Linked DNA regions of Arabidopsis thaliana. The protein of the gene in region 1 interacts with the protein of each later gene in a pairwise test. Each region holds a gene or a part of one and is shown in the gene's direction. Other genes may lie near its edges. The genes, in order: PCNA1, ATXR6, POLH and ATXR5.

Region 1 (3,793 bases):
GTAAAGGGTTTTGATGCTTTCATCGTCTGGCGATTCCAAAGTGCCCATCTCACCAGCTTTGCCAAGCAACTTCATAGCAACTGGATCATTAACACTGAAAACGTGTAAAAGAAAATGAGAAACAGTTAAAACAAACTCTTCAACAAGAATAAATGCAAAAGTACTAATACATTACAAAGAGAACTAAAACTGGAAACGACACTATGTAACAAGACTACATGAGAGCCAACATAGCATAGTTCAGTCCAAGAATTCACATATCAGAAGCTTTCAAATATCGAGTATATTATGAATGATCAAGGAGAAAATAGTACTATGGCAGAAACATATGAAATTTTACACTCCTTAGGGGAGGTATCGAAACAACCAATAAAGAACGGAACTAAACGTCAACAAAGTCAAACATACAGAAGAAAAAAGCTTACCCATAATAACGGTCTTTTATGTTTTGCTGGGATAGCTCTCCTGTTTCGGGCATCTCATGCCGGTATGGACATTCAGCACCTCTTGTACACTCACCCCTGATGAAGAAACTACAAACATGTGCTCGGTTCCTCTTATAGTACGGTGTTGTTCTTTGAAGCTTTAAAATAGTATCATTGGGTCGCATCTTCCCGAATGAAGATTCATAATCCAGTCCAGCTCTAGCCTACATAACAGAAAAAGCAAAATCACTTAGATAAGCCACCATGAGAAAGCTAGAGTAAGTCTTCAAAATTCTCAAACCAACAAATGCTGAAATAAAATCGTGAGTGTGAACATGATCATACCTTCCTGTCATGCTCTTCAGCAAAATACTCTCTGTTGACATCACTTTTAGGGATAGAGTCATGAGTACTAATGTTGAGTGCTGTGTCTCTTACTTGAACTGGAAGACCATACTCAAGATCCAGAAGACAGACTTGACAAACATTTTTCAACTTGCAGCAAGTCTGACAAATTTCGGTTTTCTTGTATCTAGCATCCCGGCCAGGTCGCCACCTAAACACCGTGAAAGGTCGTGTACATATCTTGCATTCCTTATCATAATTCGCTTTGGTCTACATATCAACAGATAAAACGTCAATCAGAAATCAAAACATCGAGATTTTCAGAAAACAAAATTGCAGCTGAAAGCTAAGAGAATCCGCAGCTGTAATCAAATCCAACTATAACTAAACGAATTTGGATGTAAAACCCAATTTTTCGATGAATTTGATAACAAGCTAAACCCTAAAACCATATTTACTAAGTTAACCACTCCAATATACAGAAAACATCAACGAGCAAGAGACTGGTTAAGAGATGAGATCCGGAAATAAGATTCAGGAGCCATTGAAACAAAACAAGCAATAGCAAAATCCAAGAATGTTTGAGAGAAGGAATCGAGAAATCACCATTCGCACGTAGGGGTTGTCACCGAGACAAGATTCGCAGATGATTGGGAAATCGGAGCGTTCCCATCCATCGGCTTCATGATCTCTCAGTATTCTGTGAGCCATTCTCTTATCCTCTGATTCGATTAGTCGATATCAAATCTCGAACACGAAGGAGACGACGAGATTTTAACTAGGGCAAAGTCGGTTTTGGATTCGCGTGTTTTTGTCTTTTAAATATTACAAATAAAACCCTAAACTTTCACTACAATTCGAAATGAACTTTTCTTCTTTTTATTAATACAAATTAACCCTCTAACTTTTATAATGACCAAAAATATCCATCCAATTCTTAAAACGATTGAGGCCGGCACTAGCGCATTGGCGGGAACCAAATAGCTTAGAATGGCGAAATCCCGCCAGAAAAGAAAAAGCTTATAAATCGGACTCCTTGACCTTATAGTGTCAATCCACTTTCCAAAATAGCCGCAAACGATTCTCATTGTGAACTCTGATAATATCTAAGACGACGAAATGTTGGAGCTACGTCTTGTTCAGGGCTCGTTGTTGAAGAAGGTTCTAGAATCAATCAAAGATCTGGTGAACGATGCGAATTTCGACTGCTCCAGCACTGGGTTCTCACTCCAAGCTATGGATTCGAGTCACGTTGCTCTGGTGTCTCTCTTGCTAAGATCCGAAGGCTTCGAACACTACAGATGCGACAGGAATCTCTCCATGGGGATGAATCTCGGCAACATGTCGAAGATGCTCAAATGCGCCGGAAATGATGACATCATCACCATCAAGGCTGATGACGGCGGCGACACCGTTACCTTCATGTTTGAGAGCCCCAGTAAGTTTATTTGCTAATTGACTGACTTACTCTAATTTCTGGTTTCTATGGGTTAAGCTTGTACGAAATGGTGGAATGATTGATGGAATAGAATGATTTAGTTCTCTTAGGGGTTGTATATAGTTTCAAGTTTCAAAAACTTGGTTTAGACCTAGCTGCTTTTAACTTGGTTTTGTGTTGGATGATTTACAGCGCAAGACAAGATTGCTGATTTTGAGATGAAGTTGATGGATATAGACAGTGAACATCTGGGAATACCTGATGCTGAGTACCACTCAATCGTGAGGATGCCTTCCAATGAGTTTTCCAGGATTTGCAAAGATCTCAGTAGCATTGGTGACACAGGTACATTGCTGCATTGTTTCTATTCTCAATCTGGGTTGTTTTTTTTAGTCTAAATAGAGATTGACCTGATGTTATTGTTGCAGTTGTGATCTCTGTGACTAAAGAAGGCGTGAAGTTTTCTACTGCCGGTGACATTGGAACCGCTAACATTGTGCTCAGGCAGAACACAACTGTAGACAAGGTATTAACATGTCTAACTCTTTGCATAAACCTATGATACTGTTGACAAATCCTCTACGGCTGTTTCATTGGAGTAACATGTTAAATTGAGGCTTTTGTTTTGTGTATTGCAGCCGGAAGATGCAATTGTGATAGAGATGAAGGAGCCAGTGTCTCTCTCATTTGCCCTGAGGTACATGAATTCCTTCACAAAGGCAACTCCATTGTCAGACACAGTGACAATCAGCTTATCGTCGGAGTTGCCAGTGGTTGTGGAGTATAAGGTTGCTGAGATGGGTTACATTCGTTACTACTTGGCTCCTAAGATTGAAGAAGAAGAAGACACTAATCCCTAAGACCCCTTTTATATCCACAATTTCTCTTCATTCTAAAATGTTGAAGATTTATTGACAATGTTGGTGTTTTTTTTTGGTGAGATTCCTTTGTATCCCCCCTCTAGAATCAGTTGTTTTCTTGACTTATTATGTTTTATGATAACAAAGTTCAGCAAAATTAGTTGTCTTGAAACTATGACCATTCATCAACAAACTAACTCCACTTTGCAAGATAATTTATACACTAACACAACCGTAGTTGCCTATACCTGGATACTTAAACTGTATGTGAACATTGACATGAAAAGGTATATTGGATTCCATTAGACTTCTCAACATCAGTTCTTTGACACCATTCTGTACTCTCTGGCTACATTTGTGTAGTACATGCAAGTGCACAAGACAGTGCATCAGGTAAACCTAGTATAATACAAGTTTACTATGTATCTACTTTGGTTTCTACTTGTTTATGTTACAACGAAAGCACTAGAAGAGCCTGTGAAATGATGGACTGACCCAAAAAGCTTCTTTGCAGCACCAAAATGGGTGATCCTATAAACCCCTGGTGATGCAGACTCGGGAATTCTCCATTCCACAGTGGCCTGACTCCGGGAGCTCAGCTTTTTATGCCTCGACCACTTGAACCTCAGACATAGATCATCGTCGTCATAAACCGGGGTCCAAGTCTTGTCCTTCTGCTCTAGTCTCTCCACCAGTGTAAACGTCCCTGTCATGAACATAGTATC
Region 2 (4,162 bases), on another chromosome or scaffold:
AGAAAACAGAAATTGATTCAAATACCATCACATCCAATAGAAATTTAGGGCAGCCATCACCGCCTAAAGATGAGTCCCATGGCGGTGGACCTTGCCAGTCCGCAGAACAGACCAACTGCTTATTTGTGTTCATAGTGCTTGAGGCGACACGTCTTCTTGTTTTCTTCTTAAGTTTCTTTGGTAGAAGATCAGACTCCTTCAACAGGATCCGTTCTCCAAACTTCCTGACAATCTTCAACAAATTCTCATCCATTGGCATCGTGTTTAGTGTCGTTTTTCTTGGAACCACTCCATTGGCTATGTTTTGACCATTTTCCGACATTGATCTGATTACATCTGTAGCCTTGCAAAGTTTGACTGTGACAATCTTACTGCTATAGTCCGATTCAGTCAGAATTTCTTGTAAGCCAACATTTATCACTCTAAGATCTTGCACTGTGATTCCTTCAACAAGATGCGCCTCAAATACATCGAATATCTGGAGCAGGCAGTGAGCATCTGTGGCAGCGTATAGTTTCTGTTCTTCTGTAAGAGGACGATATGACCAATCACTACATTGAAGTTCCTAAAGAATAAAAACCTGTTAAGAAAAGCCTTATTAACAGTACGTTTCACGAAAAGTCAAATTCTTGCAGGAATCATTGACAAACCTTTGAGAGAGAGATGTCCAGCATTTCCTTACATATAGCAGCCAAGCTCTTGATATCCTTTGGCGCCTTTCTCCCAAACCGCTTATGTTGCAGATAATTGTATATGCTTGTAATATCCAAGTATTGTTTCACCTATTCACATCAACAATCACAAACATAGAGTTTTAAAGCAACATAACCTAAAAAGGCAAATAAAAGAAAAACACAATTCAACAATCTACTTTCAACAGAAGTCAATAAACACACAAATCAATACTTACCTATCTATAAACACCACACGTGATCCAAACACAAGAACTTTAAGTACAAGAGAATATAACAGAGCTAAAGGTTAAAACTTTGATAAGAATTCGACTACAATTAGCTTAAACTAACACTACGAAGCAAAGTTCAAGACTTTCAAAAGCAAATCACCTCTTGGAATCCACCTTCACATCCATGTTGAGTAAATGTCGAAGACAAGTAAACCAAATCCTGTTTAAACCGAAACCCTAGTTTCAGAACATCCGGCGACACGAACATATCATTCAACAGCTCCCAAACCGATGGAAGATGAATCGAACTCAAATCAATGAGGAAGACATCGGAGACATCCGTGGCGTGACTGAGTCGGCATGCGACTTGGAGGAGAGTGACGGTCGGAAACGACGACGTATTGGAGTGTTGTGGCTTCCATTCGGCGTCTAAGGCGATGATCGTAGAACGAGTGAAAGACCATTTCAGGTGAGTGAACTCGGACGAGTCGGTGGATGAAACTAGATAGATCTTTAGATTGGTCTCCATCGTTCAAAGAGCAAAATCAATTTAGTTGAAAGTTACATTGAAGGAGAGTCTTATGTCGGTTTTGGTTTGTCCGGTGGGATAATCAAATTGAACCGAACCGAACAACCAAAATATATGAACCGATCTAATCCTAATTTCTCAAAATCGGTTAGATAAAACCAAAATAAACCAGTCTGCAAATCGGGAAACCGTAACAGTGGCGCCAAATTAAAATTCCCCGGGAAAATCCGGTGAATCCAGAGCGCGAACTCTTCTACTCAACCTCGGCTAGATCTCACATTTATAATCTCTCACTCTCTCTCTTTCTCTGGTAAATCAATAAGTGTAAGAATGGTGGCTGTGAGGCGAAGGAGAACACAAGCGTCAAACCCTAGATCCGAACCACCGCAACACATGTCGGATCATGATTCCGATTCCGATTGGGATACAGTCTGCGAAGAATGCAGTTCCGGTAAACAACCAGCAAAGCTGCTTCTTTGCGACAAATGCGATAAAGGGTTTCATCTTTTCTGTCTCAGACCGATCCTCGTTTCAGTTCCCAAAGGCTCTTGGTTCTGCCCTTCTTGTTCCAAACATCAGATCCCTAAATGTAAGCTTTTTCACTATACCCACATGACTCTAATTTCAAAGCTTCCTTCTTTTGATTAGGATATGTTTATTGTTGAGCTTTAGATTTTAGGATTCTTCTGGGTTTCTTGATCTCTGTCTTTGATTTGATTTTGCGAATTTGATTCAGATTTAACACTACTAGATCAGGTTTTGGATTACACTGTTGCTGAATTACTAATGAAAAGTTTTGTAAATCTGCAGCTTTCCCTCTTATTCAGACTAAAATTATAGATTTCTTCCGGATTAAGCGGTCTCCAGATTCATCTCAAATCTCAAGTTCTTCAGGTATGTAATTTTGCAGATTAGAAATCTAAATCCCTAGAAATATTAATCTGAATAGTGAAATGTTTGCAGATAGTATTGGGAAGAAACGGAAAAAGACTAGCTTGGTGATGTCAAAGAAGAAGAGAAGGCTTCTTCCATACAATCCTAGCAATGATCCTCAAAGGAGGCTAGAGCAAATGGCGTCTCTGGCCACTGCGTTGAGAGCTTCCAACACCAAGTTCAGCAATGAGCTTACTTATGTATCTGGAAAGGCTCCAAGATCTGCAAACCAAGCTGCTTTTGAGAAAGGAGGCATGCAGGTATCTATCTTAAGTTGATATGTATTGCTCTTGTTCTTCAGTCACATCTATATGATTGGTTTGGTGATTCTTAGGTTTCTTGAAAGCATTCATTGTTGGGTTAAGTATCAACAGAAAAGTTGATTTTGTATTTAATTTCATACAGGTTCTATCTAAAGAAGGCGTAGAGACCTTAGCCTTGTGCAAGAAAATGATGGACCTCGGTGAATGCCCGCCACTTATGGTCGTCTTCGATCCTTATGAAGGGTACTTAACATTCTTATTAGCTTCTCTTTTGACCTTTATAACCAAGAAGAGAGTAGGAAAATGCATTTATCAATGTATAATTATATTGAAGTCTAATTTTTTCTATCTGAACAGGTTCACAGTAGAGGCGGACAGGTTTATAAAAGACTGGACAATTATCACAGAGTATGTTGGAGATGTTGATTATCTGAGCAATAGAGAAGATGACTATGATGGAGACAGTATGATGACTCTACTTCATGCCTCTGATCCTTCGCAATGTCTCGTAATTTGCCCTGACAGACGCAGTAACATCGCCCGGTTCATCAGTGGCATCAACAATCACTCACCGTGAGTTTCTCTTCTCTTCTATTTGGTTCCTTAAAGTCGACTCTCTGGTCACAACACCTGAGCTCCATGTTTTGGTCCTGCTTCTGAATTAGTTGGAACCATTCTAGTATTGCTTGTCCTCATTGTGTATTTGTTGACATTTTGTGAATTGCAGAGAAGGGAGGAAGAAGCAGAACCTGAAGTGTGTGAGGTTCAACATCAACGGAGAAGCTAGGGTTCTTCTCGTAGCTAATAGAGACATATCGAAAGGGGAAAGATTGTATTATGATTACAACGGATATGAACATGAGTATCCAACTGAACATTTTGTATAACCCTGTGAATTTCGTAAGAAAGGTCAACCTATTAAAAAGGTTGCTTGTTCATCAAGAAACAACCTAAAAGTGTTTTTTGTCCTTCCTAATGCTTTAACTGGGCTTTTAGACCATGAACCAAAGCCTTACTTCAAGTTGGATCAAAATGTGAAGCCTTGTCGGAATAATTGATGTTCTATTTGTAAAAAATACACTAGAAATGGGAATTGAATTGAAGAAAATAAAGATTGTTGGTAAGGAAAAGAGAGAGTAGGAATAATGAATGAAATAGAATGGTCCAAAGAGCCTAAAGACTAAAGGAGTCTGACAGTACCTTCAAGCGACTATGAGAGTTTGCATCAAAAAAACCATTCCTTTGTGATTCCTTCAGATCACTGTGGGACATAAACTTCCTTTTGGATCCCACACTTACCATTTTTCATCTTTTTTTGCATTCTCCAACAAATTTATTCAATTTTAATGCATCGTACATACCTAAGAGACAATTTGATAAATATCTCGACATTGATTTATTGAACATTTTATCTTTCATCTTTTAGCTCTCCATCAGGATATTATAAATTTGGCTACGGGAGCGGACATATCATATTAAAATTGATTACTAAGTATCAATTTGACGTAGGAAGCATAGATAAACCTTGGATCT
Region 3 (6,584 bases), on another chromosome or scaffold:
AAATAGATTGTGTGCAAGATAAATGAATGCATACGAAGTTGACAGTAGACAATGATCAAATCCAAACATTTATACTTATGTCTACATGATTTAACTGAAACTAAATCATCTTGTATAGACTTACAGCCCAGAAGTCTGTTGGCAGAGATAGAGTCCACTATCCATGTAGGTTTCACAACAGGTAATCCTCTGCTGAATGTCCTGATTGGAAACAAAAATCCATTATAAGACACGAACTTGCAAGAAATTAGCGAAGAATTTTAAAGAAACAACTAACCTAAGATTCTTGACTTTACTATCTGGAAGGTTGCTGCAAATGATATGTGTAACAGAACGCCTAGAAAAGTAGTTCTCAAATCTTCCACCATACTTCATCATGTATCCTTTCAACTCCTACACAGATCTAGACACTGTTAAATCACATATAACCCACCAGCAAAACTGCACTACAACAAATTCTAAGGTTTATTCACCTGCAACAGTTTGTACGATATAAGAGTTAAGCCATTTCAAATCAGGAAAGAACTAGAAACCAACAAAATTGAAAATGGGTAGAAACCAAAGCAATAGAGCTTAAACCTGATGAGAAGGAATAGTGAACCCATCCACAAAGATTGAAACCCCTTGGAAAATAAGTTTCTCAGAACCCGAAACACCACGAGAAGCAGCAGAAGCCTCAGTCTCAAATTGGTTCTGAAGTTTCCTATTTTTCACTTCCATGTAACTAACATCAAAAACATAAAAAAAATAATCAACAACCACGATAGTATAACAATGCTTAACGCATCTTACTTCATTCTAACTTCATAAAATTTCCAAAATTCAATCTTTCTCAGAACATCACTTTTCAGAGGGAAAGTTTCAACTTTTACATGGGAATTTCAAAATCTAACCACTACCCAACACTAAAATGGCAGAGAATGATAGAAAGACCTTCCGAAATCGGAGAAAGGAGAAGACCGGAAAGAAGAACGAGAAGAAGCAGCGCCCCATGCCGCGCCTAGGGTTTTCTGATTGCTCGGATTATTATTCTTCTTAGACTTCTTGTTACTTCCACTGCCACTATTGTTTGAAGAATTTGAACCCAAGCTACGCTTCATTGTTGTTGTTGGGGAGGAATCTCAACGAGACGGAGAAGAAGAAGCATTCAACGAAATTTTCCAATTTGTAAAGTCACAACCTGTGAGTGGTTTATATACTAAAACACAAACATTTTCAGATTAGTACTTAAACTTGTATATACTTCCAAAAATCCCCATAAGTTTTAATTTTTACAGTTATAATTTAATACCTAATTTTTTTATTTTATTTTTGTAATCATAAACATAATTGAGAGAAAATTGTTTTTCTTGAATCCAAATCTTTAGTTAGTGAAGATTATCTAGCCAAATTTAATGAGCAATAAAAATCGACATTTCACAATAATAGTGAAATTAATAATAGTAGTGAACAAATAGTAATGGATGAAAAAAACATGACCCATATTATTTTTATGATTGTTTTATATAAATAAAAATAAACTCAATAAAAATTTTATGTAATGAATAAATATTAAATATTTTATCTATACTTTTTGTTTATCTACCGAACGATCAACCATAATTCGAAAGATGCAGCTTGATGTCCATAATTTTGTTACCACACTAAATCTCTAAAAACAACAATGTCAATCTTCAACCTATTTTTACAAATAATTTGACACGGCAAATTTGGAGAAATATTTAGGGTTTGAGATCATTACAATGAATTTCATGTTTTGTTGTCAAATTACTTGTGTTCTAAACGGGTTATTTTGCAAAGTTTAGTTTCTTTGAGGGTTCGTTTTGAAACTTTCTCATTTTATTAATCTGTCTCGCTTTTTCTCCTAATTATTATTTTCGCGCGCTATTCATCAGTCATCATCCCCAAGAAACCCCTCTTTCGGTGGTAAAAACTCTCTCTCTCTCTCTCTCTCTCCCTCTGATTTCTGCGGAGATTTCTGAAATAGAAATGCCGGTAGCGAGACCGGAAGCATCGGATGCTAGAGTTATCGCTCATGTCGACATGGATTGCTTCTACGTTCAAGGTCCTTCTCTCTCTAACCCGAATTGTATTCAGCCACTAGACGCTTTAGTGAGAGAAAGCAAAGCTTTTTAACACTTTTTTTGAACTTTTTAGCTTTGTTGGAATTTTGGGTTTCAATCGAATTTTAATAACGGTTTCTTTTCTTTTTTTTTCTCGTTGGCGTTTGTTTTAGGGATTTGGGAAATTACCAAATACCAAAAAGTGTGCTTTTTTGTTTCTATTTTATCAAAATGTCTCCTTTACTTACCTGGTTAAGGGATTTTTTTATGAGTGAGTGATTAGTGGAGCAGAGGAAGCAACCGGAGTTGCGAGGACTGCCTAGTGCAGTTGTACAGTACAATGAATGGCAAGGTGGTGGTTTGATTGCTGTTAGTTACGAAGCACGTAAATGTGGCGTAAAGCGGTTAGTGTGTAATTACAGAAATGCTTCTTTCCCCCAATTGTATCAATCTTTTGAGGATAGGGAAAAATTGTGTTTTGGGTTAATGTTCAGGTCGATGAGAGGTGATGAGGCTAAAGCTGCTTGTCCTCAGATTCAATTGGTTCAAGTTCCTGTGGCTCGTGGTAAAGCTGACCTTAATTTATATCGCAGTGCCGGTTCTGAGGTTGATGGAAGTGGAAGTTATTATTATACTGTTTGTGTTTGTCTAAACAATGACATTTGCTAAATTCATCTCATTCTATGTGTTGTCGCTGCAGGTGGTTTCGATTCTAGCAAAAAGCGGAAAATGTGAGAGGGCTTCGATTGATGAAGTGTATCTTGACCTCACTGATGCAGCAGAAAGCATGCTTGCTGATGCACCTCCAGAGAGTTTGGAATTGATAGATGAGGAAGTTCTTAAATCCCATATTCTTGGAATGAACAGAGAGGTCTGTTTTGGTGTCTTTTAGTCTCCAACAAAAGTATAGTCGATAGTCAATATTATGATCTGAATTTATTTATTTTACTTTCAGGATGGAGATGATTTCAAGGAGAGTGTCCGCAATTGGATTTGTCGAGAAGATGCTGATCGACGTGATAAGTTATTAAGTTGTGGAATTATCATTGTTGCAGAACTCCGGAAACAGGTGCTTAAGGAGACTGAGTTTACTTGTTCTGCTGGCATAGCCCATAACAAGGCAAGAAGCTATTTTATTTTGTTTTCCTTTTATCGCTTGTATGGCGAGTAATAACATATAACTTCAACAAGCAGATGCTAGCCAAACTTGCTAGTGGAATGAACAAACCTGCGCAGCAGACAGTTGTACCATATGCAGCTGTACAGGAATTACTAAGTTCCTTGCCAATAAAGAAAATGTAAGTAAGTTTCAATAGTGTATTGATCACAACACATATTTTCGTAGGAGAACTTTTAGTATTTGTCACATTCTACGGAATACACTTAAATATTTGCGTCAGTATCAACACAGCTGTGTTTTATAAGATGTAAGACAGTCCAAAGTTGTGTATTGCATCTTTTATCGCTGTCCCAGGATCATAAAATTTTCAGTTAGTGCTGGTAATCATTGAGCTCTAATTAGACATAACGTGCAGGAAACAACTGGGAGGAAAGCTGGGCACTAGCTTGCAAACTGACTTGGGAGTTGACACAGTAGGGGACTTGCTGCAATTTTCTGAAACGAAGCTACAAGAACATTACGGAGTAAATACTGGGTAATAGCTTTGGAAAAGATAGAATTTTTGTTGTCCTGGACTCGTAGGCTATTGTAGATTGTTCATTATTTGATTAGTACCTTCTAGCATACTAAATTCCCAATAGTTGCTTATTTGCTTGATAATAGAAATTTAAAGACATGCAACTCGTGCTTGTTTGTCTATTAATACGTTTTTCTGATTTTTCCCCCGACTTGTAGTACTTGGTTATGGAATATAGCAAGAGGGATCAGTGGAGAAGAAGTGCAAGGTCGCCTTCTCCCCAAAAGTCATGGTTCTGGAAAGACATTTCCCGGACCTCGTGCTTTGAAGTCACTCTCAACTGTAAGAGTAGAATCTCAACAATGCACTTCTTTTCCCTTTGCTATCAGTTGCTCTAGTTGATAGGTCATAACTGAAAGTGCTTATAGAGGTGAAACGTTTTGGAAAAATAGTAGCAAAAGTATCCCCTTTTTATCTTCAATCATATCATAGAACTAGTTTTTAGAATAAGTGTTGTGTTCTCTTATATTTCTAGGTTCAGCATTGGCTGAATCAGCTTTCCGAGGAACTAAGCGAGCGCCTCGGTTCTGACTTGGAGCAGAATAAGCGGATTGCAAGCACCCTTACCCTTCATGCTAGCGCTTTCAGAGTACCTACTTCTCTTGTTATATATCATTTTTCTCTGCGAAGACTACGACTTAAAACATATTTTTCCTGAAAAATATTGCAGTCAAAGGATTCAGATTCTCATAAGAAATTTCCTTCAAAATCATGTCCTATGAGATATGGAGTAACCAAGATCCAAGAAGATGCCTTTAACTTGTTCCAAGCTGCCTTACGTGAGTACATGGGATCCTTCGGGATCAAACCTCAAGGAAATAAGCTAGAGACATGGAGGATAACAGGTCTTTCTGTTTCAGCGAGTAAAATTGTTGATATACCATCTGTAAGTTCTTAGAGCCATTAAATGTCTTCTACTTACTTATCTCTTTCAAACATTGGTTGGTTTCTTCACTGATTTGGTAGGAGTGATATCTTATTACTGTAGGGAACAAGCTCGATCATGAGATATTTTCAAAGTCAACCTACTGTTCCTTCTCGTTCAGCAGATGGTTGTGTTCAAGGAAATGTAGCGATGACTGCTTCAGGTATTCTAGAGTATTTCTGTATATTTTCAGAACTTTCTACTTCTCTTGATTCTGGTACTTAATGTCGTGATCTAATCTGCAACTGGTGCAGCTAGCGAAGGATGTTCAGAACAGAGGTCAACAGAAACTCAAGCAGCAATGCCTGAAGTAGACACCGGTGTAACTTATACTTTGCCTAATTTTGAAAACCAAGATAAAGACATTGATCTAGTCTCCGAAAAGGTATCAGCTCTCATTTCCCTTTACTCTAAAGCATATTTTAGGCCTTTCTTAGAGGTGTGATCTAGCAAAAAGGCTAAACATATTTAGGCTCAATTACGTTCTCAGTTTCAACTTTCAAAGGAGCTTCTTTAGTAATTATAACTGGTAACGAAGTGATTGGTTAGGCCCTGTAGTGTTTGAATGACTCAAGAGCTTATATATATGTTCTTAAATTGTGTATCCTTGAAGAACCAATTCCACACATTCCTTGTCAGGATGTTGTCTCTTGTCCATCAAACGAAGCAACGGATGTTTCTACCCAATCAGAATCAAACAAAGGCACACAGACAAAGAAAATTGGGCGGAAGATGAACAACTCGAAAGAAAAGAATCGGGTACGCAATATATTGCTTTGTTTGGTGCACGAAAAGCTTCTACCTTTACTGAGATTTGTTTGCTTGTTTGTTCTCAGGGAATGCCTTCAATTGTCGATATCTTTAAGAATTACAATGCAACACCTCCATCAAAACAAGAGACTCAAGAAGATTCCACAGTGTCATCAGCCAGTAAAAGAGCAAAGTTAAGTAGCAGCAGCCATAATAGTCAAGTGAATCAAGAGGTAGAAGAGAGTAGAGAAACAGATTGGGGATATAAGACTGATGAAATCGATCAGTCAGTTTTCGATGAATTACCGGTTGAGATTCAACGAGAACTCAGGAGTTTCCTACGCACCAATAAGCAGTTTAACACCGGTAAAAGCAAAGGTGATGGTTCTACTTCAAGCATTGCTCATTATTTTCCACCATTGAATAGATAGATCTAAGCTCCTTTGTCTCTGTTGTTGACTGTATATAGTGTAGTCCTTGTCTACCTTAGATTTGGTCTTGTATCTTGAGTACTACAGATATATTATGCTTAAATCCTATTAAAAATGTCATTTTTGAGCAATAGAAAAACTAAATATATATATATCGTCTTTAAAATCCATCGAGACCTCTTGTTTTTTATGGTATGCACAGTGATAGAAGGGTTTTTTTTTTTTTTTGGTAAACATGTGAAGAAGTGATAGAAGGTTTATCAGAAGTTTGTATATCTTTGCTCAACCACGGAATCTCATGAAATATTCAAACATCCTACCTAATTGCTCTAGTTTCTCTAGTATGAGTTCTTTTTGGATCAATTCTATATCAAACGATTACATTTTATTTTCAAAAGTCAAATCAATCGAAATGTTAATTACAACTTCGCCTAAATATGACTTTTTTCTTAACTAACTTATTTTTCATCCTACTTTCTAGAATAGAATTCTCTAATATTAATTGACCTAACATAAGTTTTTTTTTTGGTAAGGAGGATTTTTTTTTTTGGTAAGGTTGAACTACCATAAGTTTGTTTGCTATCAAAACATTTTTACTTCATTTTGAGCGTAAAAACGGTAAAAAAGAAAACACAAAATTCGAAAACCTGAAACCGTTTTTGGGGTTAGGACAATACTGCAGGCCACTGTCATGCCATCCAATGGGTTTACTTTTTAT
Region 4 (4,537 bases), on another chromosome or scaffold:
AACTTTGAGAATAAATTGCAATGTTCTTTAGTACTAGTATCATTGCAATGTTGATACTCTAAACCAGAATTTTATGTTTGGACTTGGCAAAATCGTATTAAAAGTAAAGCTATCAATATGCTCTATCAAGGGAGATGTTGTCTTTGTATCTAAAACAAACTGAATCTTGATTGATTGAGCAGTCAAAAACAAAATTGGATTTAAAAGATTACAAGAAGTGGATTTGGCATTTGGAGGAACGTTAGGATAAGGAAGGAGGTCTTTGGTGAGTTGCAATTTCTTGTCAACATCAACCTTAGTACCAATTTCCACTTTCATTACTTGAAGAAATTCACTTTCCGACAGAACAGCCTCACTTGTTCGACTTCTCTAAGATTCCCTCTACACCCGTATAACTCCAACACCTTCAACGTATTTCCATCAATGCTATACCCACAAGTACTTACACACTGAAAACCCTGAAACAACGGATAGAAAAGAAAAGAACACACAGTAAGTGAAACTCCGAGATTAAATTTATAATTGAGAAAGAGAAAAAGAGATCATATTATACATACAAACCTTGAGGATCAAAGTTTCTAGATTGGGAGAGCTTTTTATCAGAGTCCAAAGAACTTTCCAACCTTTTTTCGTCTTAGACTCAAACGATAGTTTAACAAGGTTTTTAAACAAGGGAAATTCATTACTACGCCAATAATCGAAGCAATGACGCATCATCTACAACACACAAGCAAACTGGTCATGAATGAAACACAAACAAATTGGTCAAGCATGAATGTAACAAGATACATGGAGAAGAGAGAGACATCATACTTTAACGGTAGTAGAAGCAAGGTCAAGAATGTTTTTCATATTCCTCATATTCATAGGGACAAAACTCATAAGGCATAGAAAGATCGATGCGGGCTTCTCGAAGGGAATCCATTGTGATGGACCAGTAATAGTCTTATTTCTTTGATTTTTTTGGAATACTATGACTTAAACAGTATTAGTATAAGCAAAACTTACATGGCGAGCATATATGAATATCTTGAAGCATCCACCGATGCAAGACTTAAGTTTTCATCCTTGTGAAGAAGTGCAACAACCTTAATAAAGGACTTAGCCACAAAATTACCTAGCATACACCCCGGTTCAGAAAATATGATAAGAAAGTTTTGCTCTCATCGTCAAGAATATATCAAACAACCATTTCACTTGTTCCAATTATGTATATTATTCTTTATAGTCTATACCATAACTATTTCATTAACGCTAACACCGCAATTTCTTATTAATTAAAAACCTTGAAAAAAATAGAGAAAACTATTCATATATAAAATTATAAGATAAAAATTTACAATTGAAAGATATTATATATGTATATAAAATTATGAAAATCAATATGGCGAAAAATTCTTAAATCGGAAACAGAAAATTATGTTAAACCATAAGACATAATTTATTAAATTTTGTATTTTATAGATTCAGATTTATGTAATATTACATTGTTGGTCAAACCAGAACACTTTGGTTTAGCTTGTCAAATAAAGAACTTGAGCCTCCAATGAGGCGGACCGACTGTTGGGCTTGGCGTTGGGGTGGCTCAGTTGACGAAATTGACGTTTACTGTGTTTGTATTGAGCCCACCAACATATATTTTTTTTCAATTGAAAGATATCTATTTTTGTAATTACGTTTGTATAGTATAGTTAATACTGTATTAATTTTTATATCAATCCCTAGTAAATTAAATAAGTAAAATTTAGTTAAGAAATTTAGTAACAATTAAAAGGCTTTAATGGTTGTAAATTTATTAGTATCACTTACAATGTTTAAACCTTTTAAGACATACCAGTAATTTTGAATTTGTCAAAGGTCAAAAAAACAAAAGAGCCGATAAAGAAGAGTCTCAAAGGAAGAATCCCAAATTACACTCCAGGTGATGCGCACATCAGTTTTCGTGCGCACACGCGGCGGTGCACATTAGCCCCAACCAATCAAAATCATATATCCCGTTCTCCGGCGACTCTTCGTCGTGAGCTTCCGTCATGGCCACATGGAACGCATCCTCCCCTGCGGCGTCTCCTTGCTCATCGAGGCGACGAACGAAAGCTCCAGCGAGACGCCCTTCCTCCGAATCTCCACCACCGAGGAAGATGAAATCAATGGCTGAGATAATGGCGAAATCTGTCCCTGTGGTTGAACAAGAAGAAGAAGAAGACGAAGACAGCTACAGTAACGTCACCTGCGAGAAATGTGGTTCTGGAGAAGGAGACGATGAGCTTCTTCTCTGTGACAAATGCGATAGAGGCTTTCACATGAAATGCCTTAGACCCATTGTTGTTCGTGTCCCCATTGGAACTTGGCTTTGTGTCGATTGTTCCGACCAACGACCTGTAAGAAGTATGGATTTTTTGTTTCTTCGCTTTTAAATTTCCTAATTTTCTTGTGTTCTTTGTTTAATAAAAAAATGGATTTTTCTCTTGTCCGGTGAAATGTTTAGGGTTATCTCAGAAGAAGATTTTACATTTCTTTCGGATTGAGAAGCATACTCATCAAACAGACAAATTGGAATTGAGTCAAGGTGCGATTTTTGTTTTTGGATTTCATGATATGATCATAAAGTTCTTGAGTTGATGAATCTGACGAGATGTTTCACTTGATTAAATAGTTAGATGAATATGAAATAGCTTAACTTTGGCCTATTATATGCTTGAAATTTTGTTGCACCTTATGTAGGGTTAATAAGCATTGATGAGAACTTATACATATCATATACATAGATCATAGATGCTTCAGGATTAAACTAATAACAAGTGTTTGAGATTGAGATTTCTTTGTTTTGAAGAAGAAACTAGAAAGCGGAGACGATCTTGCTCTTTGACAGTGAAGAAAAGAAGGAGAAAACTCTTACCTTTGGTTCCATCAGAAGATCCTGATCAGAGGCTTGCACAAATGGGAACACTTGCTTCTGCATTAACGGCATTGGGTATCAAATACAGCGATGGTTTAAATTATGTTCCCGGAATGGCTCCTCGGTCTGCAAATCAATCCAAGTTAGAGAAAGGTGGGATGCAGGTAATAAACAAAAACAATCTTTCAGCCATTTATCCATAACTCTCTTATTTTAAGTTACTTCCTTGATTGTTTATCTCGGTTTTTACTTTTCGCAGGTGCTATGCAAAGAAGATTTAGAGACATTGGAACAATGTCAATCTATGTATAGACGAGGAGAATGCCCTCCTCTCGTTGTGGTATTTGATCCGCTTGAAGGGTATCTCTCTCTATTCCTTCGATCAACCTTCCCATAATGACAAAGTGGAGTTGTAAACATGTTCTTTGGTTATTCCGTTTGTACAGTTACACAGTTGAAGCAGATGGTCCTATTAAGGACTTAACATTCATAGCTGAATATACAGGGGATGTTGATTACTTGAAAAACCGAGAAAAAGACGATTGTGACAGCATCATGACTCTCCTTTTATCAGAAGATCCTTCAAAGACTCTTGTTATCTGTCCAGACAAGTTTGGAAACATATCTCGCTTCATTAATGGCATTAACAATCACAATCCGTAAGCAACAAATTCAAAATTGTTTTCCCCCCACTAAACTGGTTTATAACATTGAATCATCACATCACACTGATTGTTGCAGGGTTGCTAAGAAGAAGCAGAACTGCAAATGCGTGAGGTATAGCATAAACGGCGAATGTCGAGTTCTTCTAGTGGCTACACGCGATATATCGAAAGGGGAAAGGCTCTATTATGACTACAATGGTTATGAACATGAGTATCCTACTCATCACTTCCTCTGATCTTTCAATTCTAACAGTTCTACAGAGTCTCTAGATCAGATGTTCTTTTTGTTGCCATATTACAGGTCAATTATAAATGTAGGGCTGCTGAATATATGGCCTTTAATTATGAAGTTAGCGGTAGAATAATTGGATTTGGAATGACATTACAGAGATTAAGATGTGGCAAATGTCAATTGCTGAACTTTTGTTTGATATCAAATGAAATCCTAACCTTTTTCTTATATGTTCTTGGAGACAACTTCACCACCTTAAGTGGTTGCCAAATAAGTTATAATTTCTTTTATACTCTTCTTCATAAATTTATCAAAATGAAGAACTAATCCAATACAGTCATTACCTAAACAGAAAAGTATAATTACAGTACTTGCCTAGTGTCGTACTTCTTATTTCCAGTCACCGAAATGTATTAACGCCAAAAGAGATTCATCTGTTATGCATAATAATCGCATGCTATGAATTAAATGAACACATCCAAAAAGGATGAAGTCACAATTGTACTACAGTTTCAGTATTGAGAGGAAAGCTTTTTTCACTTTGACCACTTTGATTGAATCATATCTTTGAAATTTTAAGTGGTGCTTTGCTACATATTCAACGGCTCAACAAGACAGAGAGAAAAATATTACGAGAGGAGATAGAGAGTGAGAGAGACGAGCAAGTTGAAGGAGCAAAACTTGTAGGTGAGAGCTTGAATCAGAACATTTCAAAGGAGAGAGATGGCAAGTAACCCTGATTTT

The links.
Region 2: the proteins of PCNA1 (region 1) and ATXR6 interact in a two-hybrid assay, tested with the Arabidopsis thaliana proteins (one study listed by BioGRID).
Region 3: the proteins of PCNA1 (region 1) and POLH interact in a two-hybrid assay, tested with the Arabidopsis thaliana proteins (one study listed by BioGRID).
Region 4: the proteins of PCNA1 (region 1) and ATXR5 interact in a two-hybrid assay, tested with the Arabidopsis thaliana proteins (one study listed by BioGRID).

Annotation. Positions count from the first base shown.
Region 1 is NC_003070.9:2,261,315-2,265,107, forward strand, and holds PCNA1 (proliferating cellular nuclear antigen 1), read left to right. Parts: upstream 1-1,722; 5' UTR 1,723-1,889; coding exon 1,890-2,208; intron 2,209-2,400; coding exon 2,401-2,553; intron 2,554-2,636; coding exon 2,637-2,734; intron 2,735-2,846; coding exon 2,847-3,068; 3' UTR 3,069-3,239; downstream 3,240-3,793. Other genes in the region: MAC5A (CCCH-type zinc fingerfamily protein with RNA-binding domain-containing protein), read right to left, coding at 1-94, 426-649, 771-1,040, 1,377-1,481; AT1G07380 (Neutral/alkaline non-lysosomal ceramidase), read right to left, coding at 3,515-3,774. UniProt on the Arabidopsis thaliana protein: This protein is an auxiliary protein of DNA polymerase delta and is involved in the control of eukaryotic DNA replication by increasing the polymerase's processibility during elongation of the leading strand.
Region 2 is NC_003076.8:8,294,599-8,298,760, reverse strand, and holds ATXR6 (TRITHORAX-RELATED PROTEIN 6), read left to right. Parts: upstream 1-1,601; 5' UTR 1,602-1,763; coding exon 1,764-2,022; intron 2,023-2,243; coding exon 2,244-2,327; intron 2,328-2,396; coding exon 2,397-2,626; intron 2,627-2,771; coding exon 2,772-2,872; intron 2,873-2,986; coding exon 2,987-3,202; intron 3,203-3,356; coding exon 3,357-3,516; 3' UTR 3,517-3,651; downstream 3,652-4,162. Other genes in the region: AT5G24340 (3'-5' exonuclease domain-containing protein), read right to left, coding at 26-565, 651-782, 1,065-1,433. UniProt on the Arabidopsis thaliana protein: Histone methyltransferase that specifically monomethylates 'Lys-27' of histone H3 (H3K27me1). Has higher activity on nucleosomes containing H3.1 than H3.3. Involved in the formation of constitutive heterochromatin and the silencing of heterochromatic elements.
Region 3 is NC_003076.8:18,047,185-18,053,768, reverse strand, and holds POLH (Y-family DNA polymerase H), read left to right. Parts: upstream 1-1,872; 5' UTR 1,873-1,989; coding exon 1,990-2,065; exon of another isoform or gene 2,066-2,346; coding exon 2,347-2,467; intron 2,468-2,557; coding exon 2,558-2,669; intron 2,670-2,763; coding exon 2,764-2,934; intron 2,935-3,018; coding exon 3,019-3,183; intron 3,184-3,257; coding exon 3,258-3,361; intron 3,362-3,598; coding exon 3,599-3,718; intron 3,719-3,918; coding exon 3,919-4,042; intron 4,043-4,235; coding exon 4,236-4,349; intron 4,350-4,430; coding exon 4,431-4,646; intron 4,647-4,748; coding exon 4,749-4,848; intron 4,849-4,939; coding exon 4,940-5,070; intron 5,071-5,324; coding exon 5,325-5,444; intron 5,445-5,521; coding exon 5,522-5,866; 3' UTR 5,867-6,036; downstream 6,037-6,584. Other genes in the region: REV1 (DNA-directed DNA polymerase), read right to left, coding at 125-201, 278-393, 580-724, 934-1,100. UniProt on the Arabidopsis thaliana protein: Error-free DNA polymerase specifically involved in DNA repair. Plays an important role in translesion synthesis (TLS), where the normal high fidelity DNA polymerases cannot proceed and DNA synthesis stalls.
Region 4 is NC_003076.8:3,038,464-3,043,000, reverse strand, and holds ATXR5 (TRITHORAX-RELATED PROTEIN 5), read left to right. Parts: upstream 1-1,839; 5' UTR 1,840-2,030; coding exon 2,031-2,385; intron 2,386-2,485; coding exon 2,486-2,566; intron 2,567-2,830; coding exon 2,831-3,060; intron 3,061-3,155; coding exon 3,156-3,256; intron 3,257-3,342; coding exon 3,343-3,555; intron 3,556-3,637; coding exon 3,638-3,797; 3' UTR 3,798-4,021; downstream 4,022-4,537. Other genes in the region: AT5G09780 (Transcriptional factor B3 family protein), read left to right, coding at 4,517-4,537. UniProt on the Arabidopsis thaliana protein: Histone methyltransferase that specifically monomethylates 'Lys-27' of histone H3 (H3K27me1). Has much higher activity on nucleosomes containing H3.1 than H3.3.